Oryzias latipes: one gene and its partners. The protein of the gene in region 3 interacts with the protein of the main gene of each other region in a pairwise test. Links are inferred from orthologs where the notes say so. Each region holds a gene or a part of one and is shown on either strand. Other genes may lie near its edges.

The links. The genes of interacting proteins can lie anywhere in the genome.
Region 1: the proteins of traf3ip1 (region 3) and smc3 interact in a two-hybrid assay, tested with the Homo sapiens proteins (2 studies listed by BioGRID and IntAct). The link is inferred for Oryzias latipes from reciprocal best matches to the Homo sapiens genes TRAF3IP1 and SMC3.
Region 2: the proteins of traf3ip1 (region 3) and sfr1 interact in a two-hybrid assay, tested with the Homo sapiens proteins (2 studies listed by BioGRID and IntAct). The link is inferred for Oryzias latipes from reciprocal best matches to the Homo sapiens genes TRAF3IP1 and SFR1.

Annotation. Positions count from the first base shown.
Region 1 is NC_019859.2:36,679,632-36,683,732, reverse strand, and holds the start of smc3 (structural maintenance of chromosomes protein 3), read right to left. Parts: upstream 2,818-4,101; 5' UTR 2,638-2,817; coding exon 2,623-2,637; intron 2,132-2,622; coding exon 2,056-2,131; intron 1,946-2,055; coding exon 1,907-1,945; intron 1,823-1,906; coding exon 1,755-1,822; intron 1,635-1,754; coding exon 1,563-1,634; intron 265-1,562; coding exon 185-264; intron 91-184; coding exon 12-90; intron 1-11. UniProt on the Homo sapiens protein: Central component of cohesin, a complex required for chromosome cohesion during the cell cycle. The cohesin complex may form a large proteinaceous ring within which sister chromatids can be trapped.
Region 2 is NC_019873.2:20,002,338-20,006,443, forward strand, and holds sfr1 (swi5-dependent recombination DNA repair protein 1 homolog), read left to right. Parts: upstream 1-1,344; 5' UTR 1,345-1,599; coding exon 1,600-1,680; intron 1,681-2,169; coding exon 2,170-2,478; intron 2,479-2,556; coding exon 2,557-2,745; 3' UTR 2,746-2,909; coding exon of another isoform or gene 2,910-3,082; 3' UTR 3,083-3,174; coding exon of another isoform or gene 3,175-3,328; 3' UTR 3,329-3,407; coding exon of another isoform or gene 3,408-3,488; 3' UTR 3,489-3,589; downstream 3,590-4,106. Other genes in the region: cfap43 (cilia- and flagella-associated protein 43), read right to left, coding at 2,910-3,082, 3,175-3,328, 3,408-3,488. UniProt on the Homo sapiens protein: Component of the SWI5-SFR1 complex, a complex required for double-strand break repair via homologous recombination. Acts as a transcriptional modulator for ESR1.
Region 3 is NC_019879.2:26,425,731-26,429,777, forward strand, and holds the start of traf3ip1 (TRAF3-interacting protein 1), read right to left. Parts: upstream 2,802-4,047; 5' UTR 2,658-2,801; coding exon 2,535-2,657; intron 652-2,534; coding exon 583-651; intron 1-582.

The DNA.
Region 1 (4,101 bases), on a different chromosome or scaffold from region 3:
ATCTTTCTCACCTTTCCCTGTTTGACGATGTAGTATGGGTTACTGCGAGAGAAACCGGCGCTTTCCAGAAGGTTCATGACGTCGTTCTTACTGCAACAACAGCATGTGGAAGACGTTTAATCCTACATTTGTCATTCTCTGTGATAACAGGGACAGAAGCAGTCACAGCTCAGCAAGAACTCACGTCACCATCTTCTTGTCCAAGAAATATTGGTCCTTCTTTGCACCAATGACACGACGAAGAGAGACTTCCTCTTTGTCAATCTGAAAGGACAAAATTCTCACTTGGTCTGTGATCAACAAAGCTATAATTCAGCTTTAATGTTTGTGAATCCCTTTCATGTTAGGAGCAGTACAACAATATGTAAGTGGCAGAACCGATTCTGAAAGTTGTTCCACTAAAAAATGAAAGATCAGCGATGATCATCATTAACAAGATATAAAGACAAATAAATAAGACCATTAAGGGGCCACAGGTGGAGGCAGGTTGCCAGTATTTTAAAGTTTCTATATATTGTTCTAATAAGTAATCTGAGTAATAACGAGAGCTTCTTAAAGACCCACTGCGATGAAAATGGTGTTTTTAGAATGTTCTTGTGGTATATTTCTGATGACGGGGACATTCATAAAGAAAATTAGGACTAAAACTGCATTTCTGAGTCTTTTATTCTCATCGTTGTGAATCCGGGGAGCAGACGAAGAAATGCAGTTGTAAAAGGATTGTATTTGTGACGTAGAAAATACGCTGGGCGGGGCCACAAACTCCCTGCTCTGAGCAATGGGGAAGGTAGGGAAGGGGGGGTGCTCCACCCAAACAGTCCCACCCACAATTTAGAGGTGAATTTCTAATGAACTCCTGCCGCTCTGCAGAAACTATGACGTACAAAACAACAGAGGTTTTTTGCCTAAAGAATGCATCATCATAATAAAAAGACCACGAGAACGCTTTGAAAACAGATCAGATGATGATCAGAGTGGGACTTTACAGACGTAACAGGCCTGTGAGCTGTTAAATAATGCAAACCTGGAAAAGCAAAGTTACTTCCCAAAGTACTGAGGTTAACTTTAGTTATTGATCAAATACTTATTTTCTGCTCCATTGTACAAATAAAATCTGTAAAAATTAAACAATGTGGTTTCCTGGATTATTTATTCTGTCTCACACAGTTAAACTGCGTCTATGACGAATGATACAGATCCAAAGTCTATTTTTATGTGGGACAGCTTGCAGAATCTGTGACTGACAAATACTTTGGTGCTGCTTTTAAATATTTCTATGGTTACTCACTGCAGGTGTCACAAACACTAAAATACATCAATCATATATTTGGATCAACAGGTAACATTCTACTTTCTTTAGGTCTGTATGTCTACATTTAGAAAAAATGTTGGTGACTGAAGGCAGACCTGCACCAAACTCTGAACAGCCCATAAAAACAAATCTTTTTTTTCTTTGAAAACCAGCTTTTAAAGCAAAAACTGATCGACTGGAATGTTAAAAGTTCCAAAGTTTAAAAATACAAAATGTAAACGAAATAGAACGGATGAAAAGGCTTTCCTACCGGCAGCCGGTTATCAGAGTTGTCAAAAATAATTTCCACAAAAGCTGATATGACGCGTGGACCAGTTCCTTCCTGCAACGGGGAGAACGGCCATGAGAGAGAAAACAAACAAAGCAAGAATGACTCCATTAACATGCAAAAAAAAAGGTTGGTCAGAAATCATCTGGTGGTAAAATTCGACATCATACTTACATGCAGAAGGGCCAGACGCTGTTCAGGCCGCAGATGACTGAATTCATCACTGAGGACGAACTGGATGGCTAGGGCGGGGGGCAAAAAGGTTTGGATTTAGCTACAATGGAAAGATTTAAACTAACTAAACTTTGTAAATGAAGCCCACATACCATAGAAAAAGTTACTTTTTCCAGACCCATTTCTTCCAACTGAAAATCAAACAGAGAGAGAGAGAGAACCATGTTTTAGAGAAAGACAAATATACTCACATGGGAAAATCATGTGTTCCAAAACTCATCATGATGAAGCACAGACTCACCGATGACGTTGTGCTTTGGGCTGAATGGATCAACAACAGTTTGGTCCCGGTAACTTCGGAACCCCTGAATGATGACCTGCACCAGACCACAGCAGTTACCACCCACATATGCCGTAGTATGTATGATACATGCCGTCAAAAGGCCTCGGCTAGCCGGGATCGGCTAGCGATGGATTCATCGGCTAATGCTAAATCTATCATTTAAAACTTGTGAGCTATTCCAGACAGAGGGCGAGTTTATGTACGGTATGAGGGGAACAATATGCATTAAAAACGTGGGCGCAATGTTATTTTGTTCGGCTTAATTCACGCATGGATTCAATTCCGCGCTAACAAAAATTAGCATTAGCTTAGCTTCGGCAAGGGGGGCGTCCAGTCCTATTTAAATACTAAAAGTTCCGTCTGAGTGCATTTAATGGGCTTGCTTGATTAAGAAAATAAATATCTACATTATTAAAGACTACAGACCGGGAGTATAAAGATGTTTTGTGTTCCCTGCGCCTTGTTGCCAGACCAGGGAAAGTAAGCAGCAGCACTGCAGAGACAAAAACCCAGTGGATGACTTACCTGTTTGATATACATGGCTGCCTAAACACGGCGTCTCCTTGGAAAAACGCTGGAGATTAAACTCCTCTCCACCAAACCCAAGATTCCGGTAATCTTACTAATCAAATGTTACAAGATAAACGTTTGTATTCAACTAAAATGAAACGAATTCACCAAAACAGAACAACATGGAAAATGGCGGCGGGGGCGGGATGGAAAGGCCTGTTCCATTATGTCAAAATAGGGTTGTGGTAAAGATGTTAGGCTGAATTCGAGGACCTGGACAAACCCGAGCAGTAGCATGAATGTCTATATAATTTTTTTCTTTGAAATATGTACATTTTTTTTTCTGTGTGAACTGTTAAACGTGTGAAACGTGTAAATCTTTTTCCCGTCACAGTTGGTACATTCTGCCTCTGACGTTCTGGGCGCCAAAGCGCAGCTTCGCGCTGACGCTTCCTCCTGATTCAAGCATAACTACCGTAGACGATGTCCGTTCAGCCGGTAACTGTCAACTATTGAAGCCAGTTCCTCACATTAAGAAAACATGTGATTACAAGAGTAAAATACTTTTATTTTTAAAATGACCCGTTTGAACAAATTGGCCTAAAAGTTTATCTTGGTCTTTGGATGAAGATATAGAAGAGCCATGTCACAAACGTACAGTCACAGTAACTAAATACTATCAACATTCATGAGAATTTATGCACAATACTGTAGAGCAAAGGAAAATATTTTGCTATCTCATTACTATCCTTAGCTTGGGCTGTTTGGTTTTGTACAACGTGGCAAACAAAGTTACAAAACTCTTGGTTTACATGGTTTCTGTAACATAAACACACAAAAAACATGAAGGCCTACACAAACACACACACACACACAGGCCTATTATTGAGAGGGAGAAAAATCTCTCCTCTATATTAGGGATACAAAGATTCACAATTTGGTTCAAACGTTAATTTTTTGGTCATGGTTTTGTTTCGGTTCAATAGTTGTATATTAAAAAACAACAACGAAAGATTCTGGAAGAAAAACTGTTTTAAAAATTTCTAATAAGAAAGTAACAATAAAAAAGTCCAGTTGGCCATTACTAAGCAGTACTGTAAATGTACATTTACATGTAATCTACAATTAACAGAACATGTGATGCACTGACTCCATGTTTTCTTGTTGTCAAAGTTCAGTGGGTATAAAGGAGTAGGCTTTAATAAGCTTTCTGCTTTTCCAACATTTTATTTTGCTTGAGTTCTGTTAGAAAAAACCTCTTGAGTGACTGACTACAGTTATCAGCGAGTGTATGAATGTATCTATTGTTGTTTTTATAACATGTTTGAAATACATAAACTAAAATCTCTCCCCATGATTCAGGATGCGGTTCAGTATGTGTTGTTGTTGTTCACTCTTCTGCATGTCCCTTCAGGGGTCGCCACAGCCAATCAGCTTTCAGGGAGTCTCACAGGTGGTTTGGCAGAGATTGTTACACCGGATGCCCTTCCTGAC
Region 2 (4,106 bases), on a different chromosome or scaffold from region 3:
AAAATGGCTTAAGGATGTATAATGTTTAGTGGCCAGTCCTGCATTTGATGAAAGATCTGGCACTCTCATTATCTCACATGGCCTGGAGATTCTATAAACCCACAGCAGCTGCTGCATGCCACGGTTAATGCCGACTTCACAAAGCAAAAATTACACGCAAAAAACATTAACTTACACAAATAGCAATTACCCTTCCCTCAGTTGTCCTTACAAGGAGTATTAAAAAAAATCTCTTGTTCCCTGGGGTGTGTAATATCACACTGCCAAATGAGTTGCTAATGTTCGTGTCCGGGCACAACCACATTTGAAGGTATAACAGCTTTCTCCTCGTGGCTATAAAGGCTGACACACAATAAGAGAACCATCCCACATTTGTGAGAAGATTAAAATAGCTATAGACTTATAAAACCGATGAATCAGCTAATGAGGGAAGGTGAATCACAACATGAATCAACTCCAGATAACCACCACACAAAAAAATCTCTTTAACAATATTCTGAATTTTGGAGCAAAACACTCTTTCCCATTGCTATGGTAGTTGTTTTGCCTGACTTGATTATTAAACTACTTAAATTATAATTATTTAAATGTGTCTTATGTAAACACAAATAGTTTACCAACAATTTTTTAATTTTATTAAAAATATGTATTGATCAAATTTCATAAGAAGAAACAAGCTACTTAATCCCATGTGTGAAAAAACTTCCTTTGTGTTTTTTTATAAAAAAATGTTGTTTTCTCCATGAAGCAATTCATCAAAAAAAGAAAATTCTGTTCATTAACATATTTTTACAGGGCAATAGACATGACATTCAAATAAATAAATAAAAACTGTTCCTTCAAACTAACAATTTGTGCACACAAATTCGAATTTTTTTATTGCGTTCACACAAATTTGCATCTCGTGACCAAAATTTTGCTTTTTATTAACATTTTGTAGGCAAAAGTTACTGTTTTGTGAACACAAATAATTCAAATTACTGTACTAGCCAAATTTGTTGGCTTAGAAATTGTGTGTGCACAAATTAGCAGGCTATTATGTAGGCCTATGAATTAATTAGAATTTTGTGCCAACAAATAAGTATACTGTGGACACAGAATGCTTATAAATTACAAATTAATTGCCCAAAAAAATGCTAAATTGTGTGCACACAAAAAAATTTAAGGCCACATATTATTTTGTTTCTCTTTTTTTCATATTTTTTTTATATATATGTACATTTAAATATGATGTTTAAGTAAAATTATTCCATCTTAAAGCCAACAAGTTAAATGTGCGACTGCGTTTGAGGAATAACTTCATATCCCAGAATCCTCTTCGGCTAAACGTAATCAGTTTCTGTCCAATCATTGATCTTCAGGACTTAGAACCGCAAAAATACGGAAAAACAAGATCAACTGTGGTGTCATCGCCTCAGCTTAATTTTTCCACATGGAAATGTCTTTGATAAAAATTCAATATGGTTTATAATACTTTGTTATAGTGCCTCTAATTTTTTTCGTTCTTATTTCAGCCGAGTCAGATATATTGAGCGTTTTCTCAACTTTAAGCTAGGCTATTCTCGCAGCTAAACAGACTTTTCATGCTAAATCTGACGGATGGAAGTCACTCCAAAACACGAGTATTCATCACCCTGCTGCCCAGAAGAGTCGACCCCCTCGGGATACAGAGAAGAGAAAGTAGGTGACTGAATGGGATGTGTGGTGCACTACATACGACGTAGTGTTAGGTCCACCATGAAAGAAAAAGTCTAAAGAGACGCCGAGGGGAAAATTTTACGGCAATAAAGTTATGCAATTATGAGTAAAAAAAATAGCTCTTAAGTTGTAAATTTATGCTTCAAAAAGTCTACATCTTATAAGTAAAAAGTCACGCGTGTTGAAATTAAAATGTTACATTTTAGATTTTTTAAATCATGTCATAGCGAATTAATCGATTTTTTTTTGTAAATGTACAACTTTATTTTCGAAAAAGTACGACTTTTTCATGTAAATGTATAATTTTTTTAAATCATAATTTTACATATTTTTTAGTTATATAATGTAGATTTTTTTTTTCTAATATTTGTATGACTTTATTCTTGTAAAATGTTAACTTTTTTCTCTTTTTATGCTGGCCTTAATACTCCATCTGTGATTTTTTTTTCTTTTCCCCTCGTATCATCCTAGTGTTTTTCAAAGCTCAGCACTTCGCTGAGGGAAAGATTGAAAAGATCCAGACGCTCCTTTGTTTCTCCTGTCTCTGTGGCCAAACGCCTTTGTGTGGACGATGCAGAGGATGAAGGGCCACACATGTCAGCAGACTCCAAGGAGGCTGTCAGGCAGCCTGCAGAAATCCCACTCAATGACAACAAAAGGGAAGCCCAGTCAGGCAGTGAGCAGACGCCTGAAGCTTTTTTACAGCACCTCAGGAAAGAAGTCAAAGAAAAAACAGAGACTCTACGTCGACTCAAGATGGTAAAGATGTACAGAAGCAAGGTACCAGCCATTTTTCAAACATCTTCAGGGGATCACCGTTTTGCTTTGCCGTAACACTTTTCTGGTCTTTCCCCCTAGAATGATTTAACCCAGCTTCAAACTTTGATCGACAAGTGGAGGCGTTGCTCCCAGAACGCGCTGTATGAACTCCAGTCAGATGTCACTGTGGACGGACGAAGGGCGAATCTGTCTGAGCTTATAGACCTCTTTGGTTTGGACGATCACTTTCTGCACTTTGACCGCCCGGAGGAGGACTTCACTACTTAACATGTTTTTTTTTTTGTTTCTGTTTTTTTTTATTTTACGACTTAAGTACCAGCAGATTAAGTGGTTCTTAATCACTTTATTTGTTGCAGGTTCTTCACAGCAAAAGCACATTTAATGTACAGAGAACTTTTTGCTCAGTTAAGAAACAAAAAAAAATGTTTCACTCAGCTGTATTTCAGCTGATAGACTGAAGTGAAGTTCTTCTTCGTTAGACGTTCAACTTCCGCTAAAAGGACTGTCAGTTCCTCAGCCTGAGCTTTGACTAGAGCCTTCAAGTTGCTTTTCACAGCAAGCTCCAGGTGCCGCTCTTTGGCTTTTGCTTGCTCTTGTTCAGGGCCTAAACAACCAAAATAAAAGCAGATAAATATTTATGCTTGTCTGGGATGACGGAATCGGCGTTTGGCGAATGTTTGTCGATCAGAAACCAACCTGCAGCTTCAGAGACGTGTCTCAGCTGCGCCACGTCCACCCGTATGTCAGGAAGCTGCAGCTCCAGAGTAGAAGTCTTTTTGCTTTTCACGTCAGCTTGTTTATAAAGCTGCTCGATTTCCTTCACACACTGCTGGATGCACTGTTGATGAGCCTGAAAAAGTAAACAGAGTTGTTCATAAAAAAAGCATAAAAAGGCTGGTTTATCGTTGCTTTGTCACTTTTCATGTCACCTCCGTCATGAAAGCAAGGTTTTTCTCCAACATGGACGCTTTCTGTGAAATGCGAGTGCCTTGTTCTGACTCGCTGTAACGCTGGAAATAAAAAAAGAGAAACGCATTAATTAAAAACAGTGTTTCATACATTTTTGCTTCTCCCTTCTTCTCAAATGTTCAATAAAGGCTTTTGAAACACATGCAGCAAAGCTATTTGTCATGCAATGTAAAACCTCACTCTGCCTAGATCTATCTACATTCAAAATTTCTCTCATGGGGTTCAAACAATGTCAGGAAGGCGAACGCTGCACAGCTGCTGAGCTACCTGTACCTGCTGCCAAAGAAAACTGGCAATGCAGCCTGGAAACTTACCATTTTACCCTCTGGGTTGTTAAAAAATAAAGCCAAAAATTAGTTAGTTGGTCTGTTTTTGTGTTTGTCCTCAAACTTTCAAAACTATTTTTAACTTTTAGACTGTGTCCAAAAGCTACATATCGTCAAATAAATTGTCTTATATTTGATTAAACAAACCAATCTGTCAGATTTTGAAAAAATGATATAAAAGAAAGTGACATGCCTACTGAAAGAGGTTTAAGTTCAGCAAATGAAGGGGGAAAAAACCCTGAGTCAATTAAAAAGGGTGTGAGTCTCCTATAAAAGATCATTCATCTGCACTGGGAGATGGGAACAATTTTCTGTTTGCAAAACACCCATGGC
Region 3 (4,047 bases):
TCCTGTTTGCACATAAAAAACTATTTACATGCAGGAATATACAGATTAGCTTATTTCTAATAAAATCAAAATAGTTTATATGACGTCCATGTGCTGTTCCATAATTCCATTTTTTTCAATAGCAGCATATAAATGACAGCTTCCTCTAAAATTACTAAAAAATCTTTCTATTCATGTTCTGCTTGTAGAACATGGATTAGTCTGAACCCATACAAGTGATTTACTTTAAAGATAGTTTTCTTAGAAAACTATTTTTTAAAACATTTTGTTTAGAGAAAAAAAGGATTGGCTAGAAAAGAGCATTTTTGATCATTTTATAATCGTCCATATTTCACTTTAGAAAACATTTTTGGAGGTATGTGGAGTAAGTAGTTGTTGATATTTTTCTTTCAGTTCTTCAAAACTTTAAGTTTTAAAGTTTTCTCAGCAAGAGCAGCTTCCACATTTGCTGTTTTCTTGGTTTTCTTTGCAGGTGTGTGATATTTGATGATGTAGACAAATGCATTCAAATGAACATAAAAGAATAAATCTGTGACACATTTGTCTTGAGTTGCCAGGATACTAAAGGAATAGAGGACTTACATTGACATTATCCGACTTCATTTCATTTTCTTCATATAAGCCTTTCAGAAAACCAGTGGTTCTGATGACCTACAAGAGATGAAAATGAGTTTTATTTCATGTTCAAAGCAGCAAACATCGATTAAATCCTAGCCATATCAACAATAATTAAAAAACAACATCTTTCCTCATTTTAAACAACTCTTGACAGCCTAAAGTGCAGATTTAGTGAACTCTCTGCTTAAGTCCTGTGCCTAGAGATGAGAATGTAATCAGAGTAAAGAGTCTAAACGACTCCTTTACTCTGATTACTGTCTGGACGTGCCTCCATTGTTCAAATATGTATGAAACAGCAGTGAAATACAAGACAACGTAACAAGTGAGGCATAGAAAAAAAGATCCAACCTCTGTTGAGAAAACAGATGCTGCTTTACACCTCTGAGACTTCTCTATACATGTTAATTTATTCTGTCTATTTTAAGTCCCCTTCTGGTCGACTTTGATCCATTTTCAAAGCGTTCCCAGTGGCCTTTACTTATGATGATGCCGTTTTTAGCCAAAATCAAAAAACCTGTGTCGTTTCCTAGGACAGAGTTTCTGCAGGCGATTAGAAATTTCTCACAACCCCAACCAGACATTACCAGTGGAACAAAAATGGTGAGCAATATTGGAGCTATCCAGCCATACAGAGAGAGCCAGATCCAATCTCAGACAAAGAAAACGATGACGCACACGGAACCAGTTGTTTACAAGTGGATGCATCAGAACGGAGCGGAGTAGGGAGCTTGTGGCCCGCTGCTGTAGATTCTACGCCATAAGCCCTTTCACAAAAAAATTTCTGCCTGCTCCTGATTCACAACAATTTCAATAAAGAAATACTCAGAAATGTAATTCTAAGCTTCAATTTCTTCATGTATGTCCTCCATTCTTAGAAAAATACCACAAGAACATGTTAAAAAACCCAAAACAGTGGGGTTTTAAAGTTAAAATGCATCAAAAATACTTTCAAATGATCAAAATAACTATTTTATTAATAAGTCATTTCTCAAAATTTTTGGATATAGTTACTCTTTCCTTCTTTTATTTAGTGATGGTTTCAGATAAATACCTCCAAACCAACAAAAGCCAGGTTCATCGGTAATCAAGAAAATATTTCTAAGGCACAAAAGCATTGGCAGCATCAAAACAACATGAAAACAAGAAGTCAAAATGGTTGGTATAAGTAAAAAATCAATAAATAATAATAACTAAATATGCAGAAGACTCTCAGAAAAGAAAGCAAAAAATAAATCAAACAAATACTGAATATTTTGTGTATAAACACCACTGCAAACATAGAAAAGAATTTATTGAATTGTGACTTTTATAGGAGTGGGTTTTTTCCCCATGACAGAACACCAGGGAGCATTTATCCATGTTTAAAACCACAGTTTCAGACGTTTTAAAAAGTATTTGTTTCTACTATAACACAGATGCAGATGGTTATCGGCATCAATTTTTTCTACAAGTAACTAAACTTCATTCATAGTCATTTAACGATCCGAAAAAAATACTGTTGAATAGTTCAACAAGGGACCAAGTTAAATGGGTTTGTTGAAGTCTGAGCCCAGGTGCTGCCTAGCAACTAAACGACGCTGATCAGCTAGCTAGGTAGCTAACGAAGCTAACACTTTAGACTAAACCACAGCAGAAGTTCTGCTGAAATAATACAACGTTCCTGTCCTCAGATATGTTACTTTTTGCTGCCAGTGATGGCAGCCGTATCAGCTGTGTTACCTAATGCTGCCTAACTTACTTAAAGAGCTTTTCTTTAGGTGCAATACCACTAGCCATGATGCTAGCCGTACCCCCGCATTTCTTAGCGTATATAGGGCATTTTCGCTCCGCTTTTTTCCGACAAAATGGACTAAAAGAGGGGCTGTGAAATAGTCACACCGTCGTGAAGATACTGTAAAACAGGAATTCCGCCTCACCTCCATGAAGATGTCGTGCAGGTACCGGAACGGCGGCTTGCTCAGCAGCTTTTCCATGAGCGGTGGTTTCTTTATCACTTTCCCCAACGTTTCCTGAGTCTTTTTCACCACCGCCGCATTCATGGCGGCGGTAAACACGCATACAACCGAGTGGGTGATCACTAAGGGGGTGAAGCAGCAAAAAGCCCGGTGTGGATGCTAAACGGATCTACAGTTTGGTTGCCATGTCAATATTCAGCAATCCCACAATGCTTCACGGTTAAACAGTGCGCCTGCGCTCAACTGTGGACTTGTCAAGCGCATTGTTACCATGGCAACTGTTGGAGGGAATTGGGGGGGGGGGGGTTGCCGAAGGGGACACAAATCAAAATTTAACAACACAAATAGTTTTGGAATGAATATAATACTTTTCATTGATATTTTTATTGATTTTGTTCGTTTGGTGACCGACTTTGGACAAAAAAACAGGAATCTTGACAGCACAACCAGCATGTTATGTTATTGATCAACTATGATCACTTTGAATTTGGGGTCCAGCACACTTAATTATCAGTATAGAGTCATTACAAACACAGAAAATAATCAACTAAATTCAACGATTTGAGTGAAGAAATATTATTTATTAAACAAATAAAAGATATTAGAACTAAATAAAAACATTGATTTAATCTCAGTGAGGAAATTAATATTCTTAATTAATATATTATAATTGGTTTCTGTGTGACATTAATGTTAGACATATAGAAATATGTGTCACTACTGGTTGTGTGACATACTTTGGAAGAGAACAGTTCAGAATAACTTTCGTTGTGACAAATCATTTTAAACAAAATCTCCCTTTTGCTTCCTTCCTCTTAGAAAAAGAGTTGTTGTTTCTCTTTGCAGTTTGCAAAGTGTGTCGGTTAACGGCGGAGCTTCTTTTGAGGTCGAAGACGTTATCACATTAAGGGTTTATGAAAGTGATTGTTTTAAGCTTGAATTCTTTTCTTTTATGTTCCTAATAATTACACCAAGATGCTAATGGAGAGCCGTGCCCCTTGTCACCTTATTTTGTAAAGTGAACTCCTTGTAAAGCACAAAGGCTCAACAGGAGCAGGCTTTTAAATCGATCTTCACAGAATTTAATTGAAAAACAACTTTTATTTGTAAATGTATGATAAATCTGTTATACGTTGTTTATCAAATAGATGCTCCTGATCCTGGGATAATGATCTTGAGACACCTCACCTGGTAGTTGTTTTTGCTTTTAAAGCATGACATCCACCCTTACCCTTAAGGTACAGTACGAACCTTGACTCAGTCGCTTTTGAACCTTTGATGTTCTTCTGTAGAGAGGGCAGGGGGTTCAAATACAAGATTGACAGTTACTAACCCCTTGTCACCCATTGATGCAAATATGCATCAGACCAGTTCCAAATTACCCTCATTTGGGATCTACTTGAAGACAAAAACATGAGTGAAATTGCTTTTTCATAGATAAATTCAGGCTTCAAAGGGTTAAAAGGGTTAATCT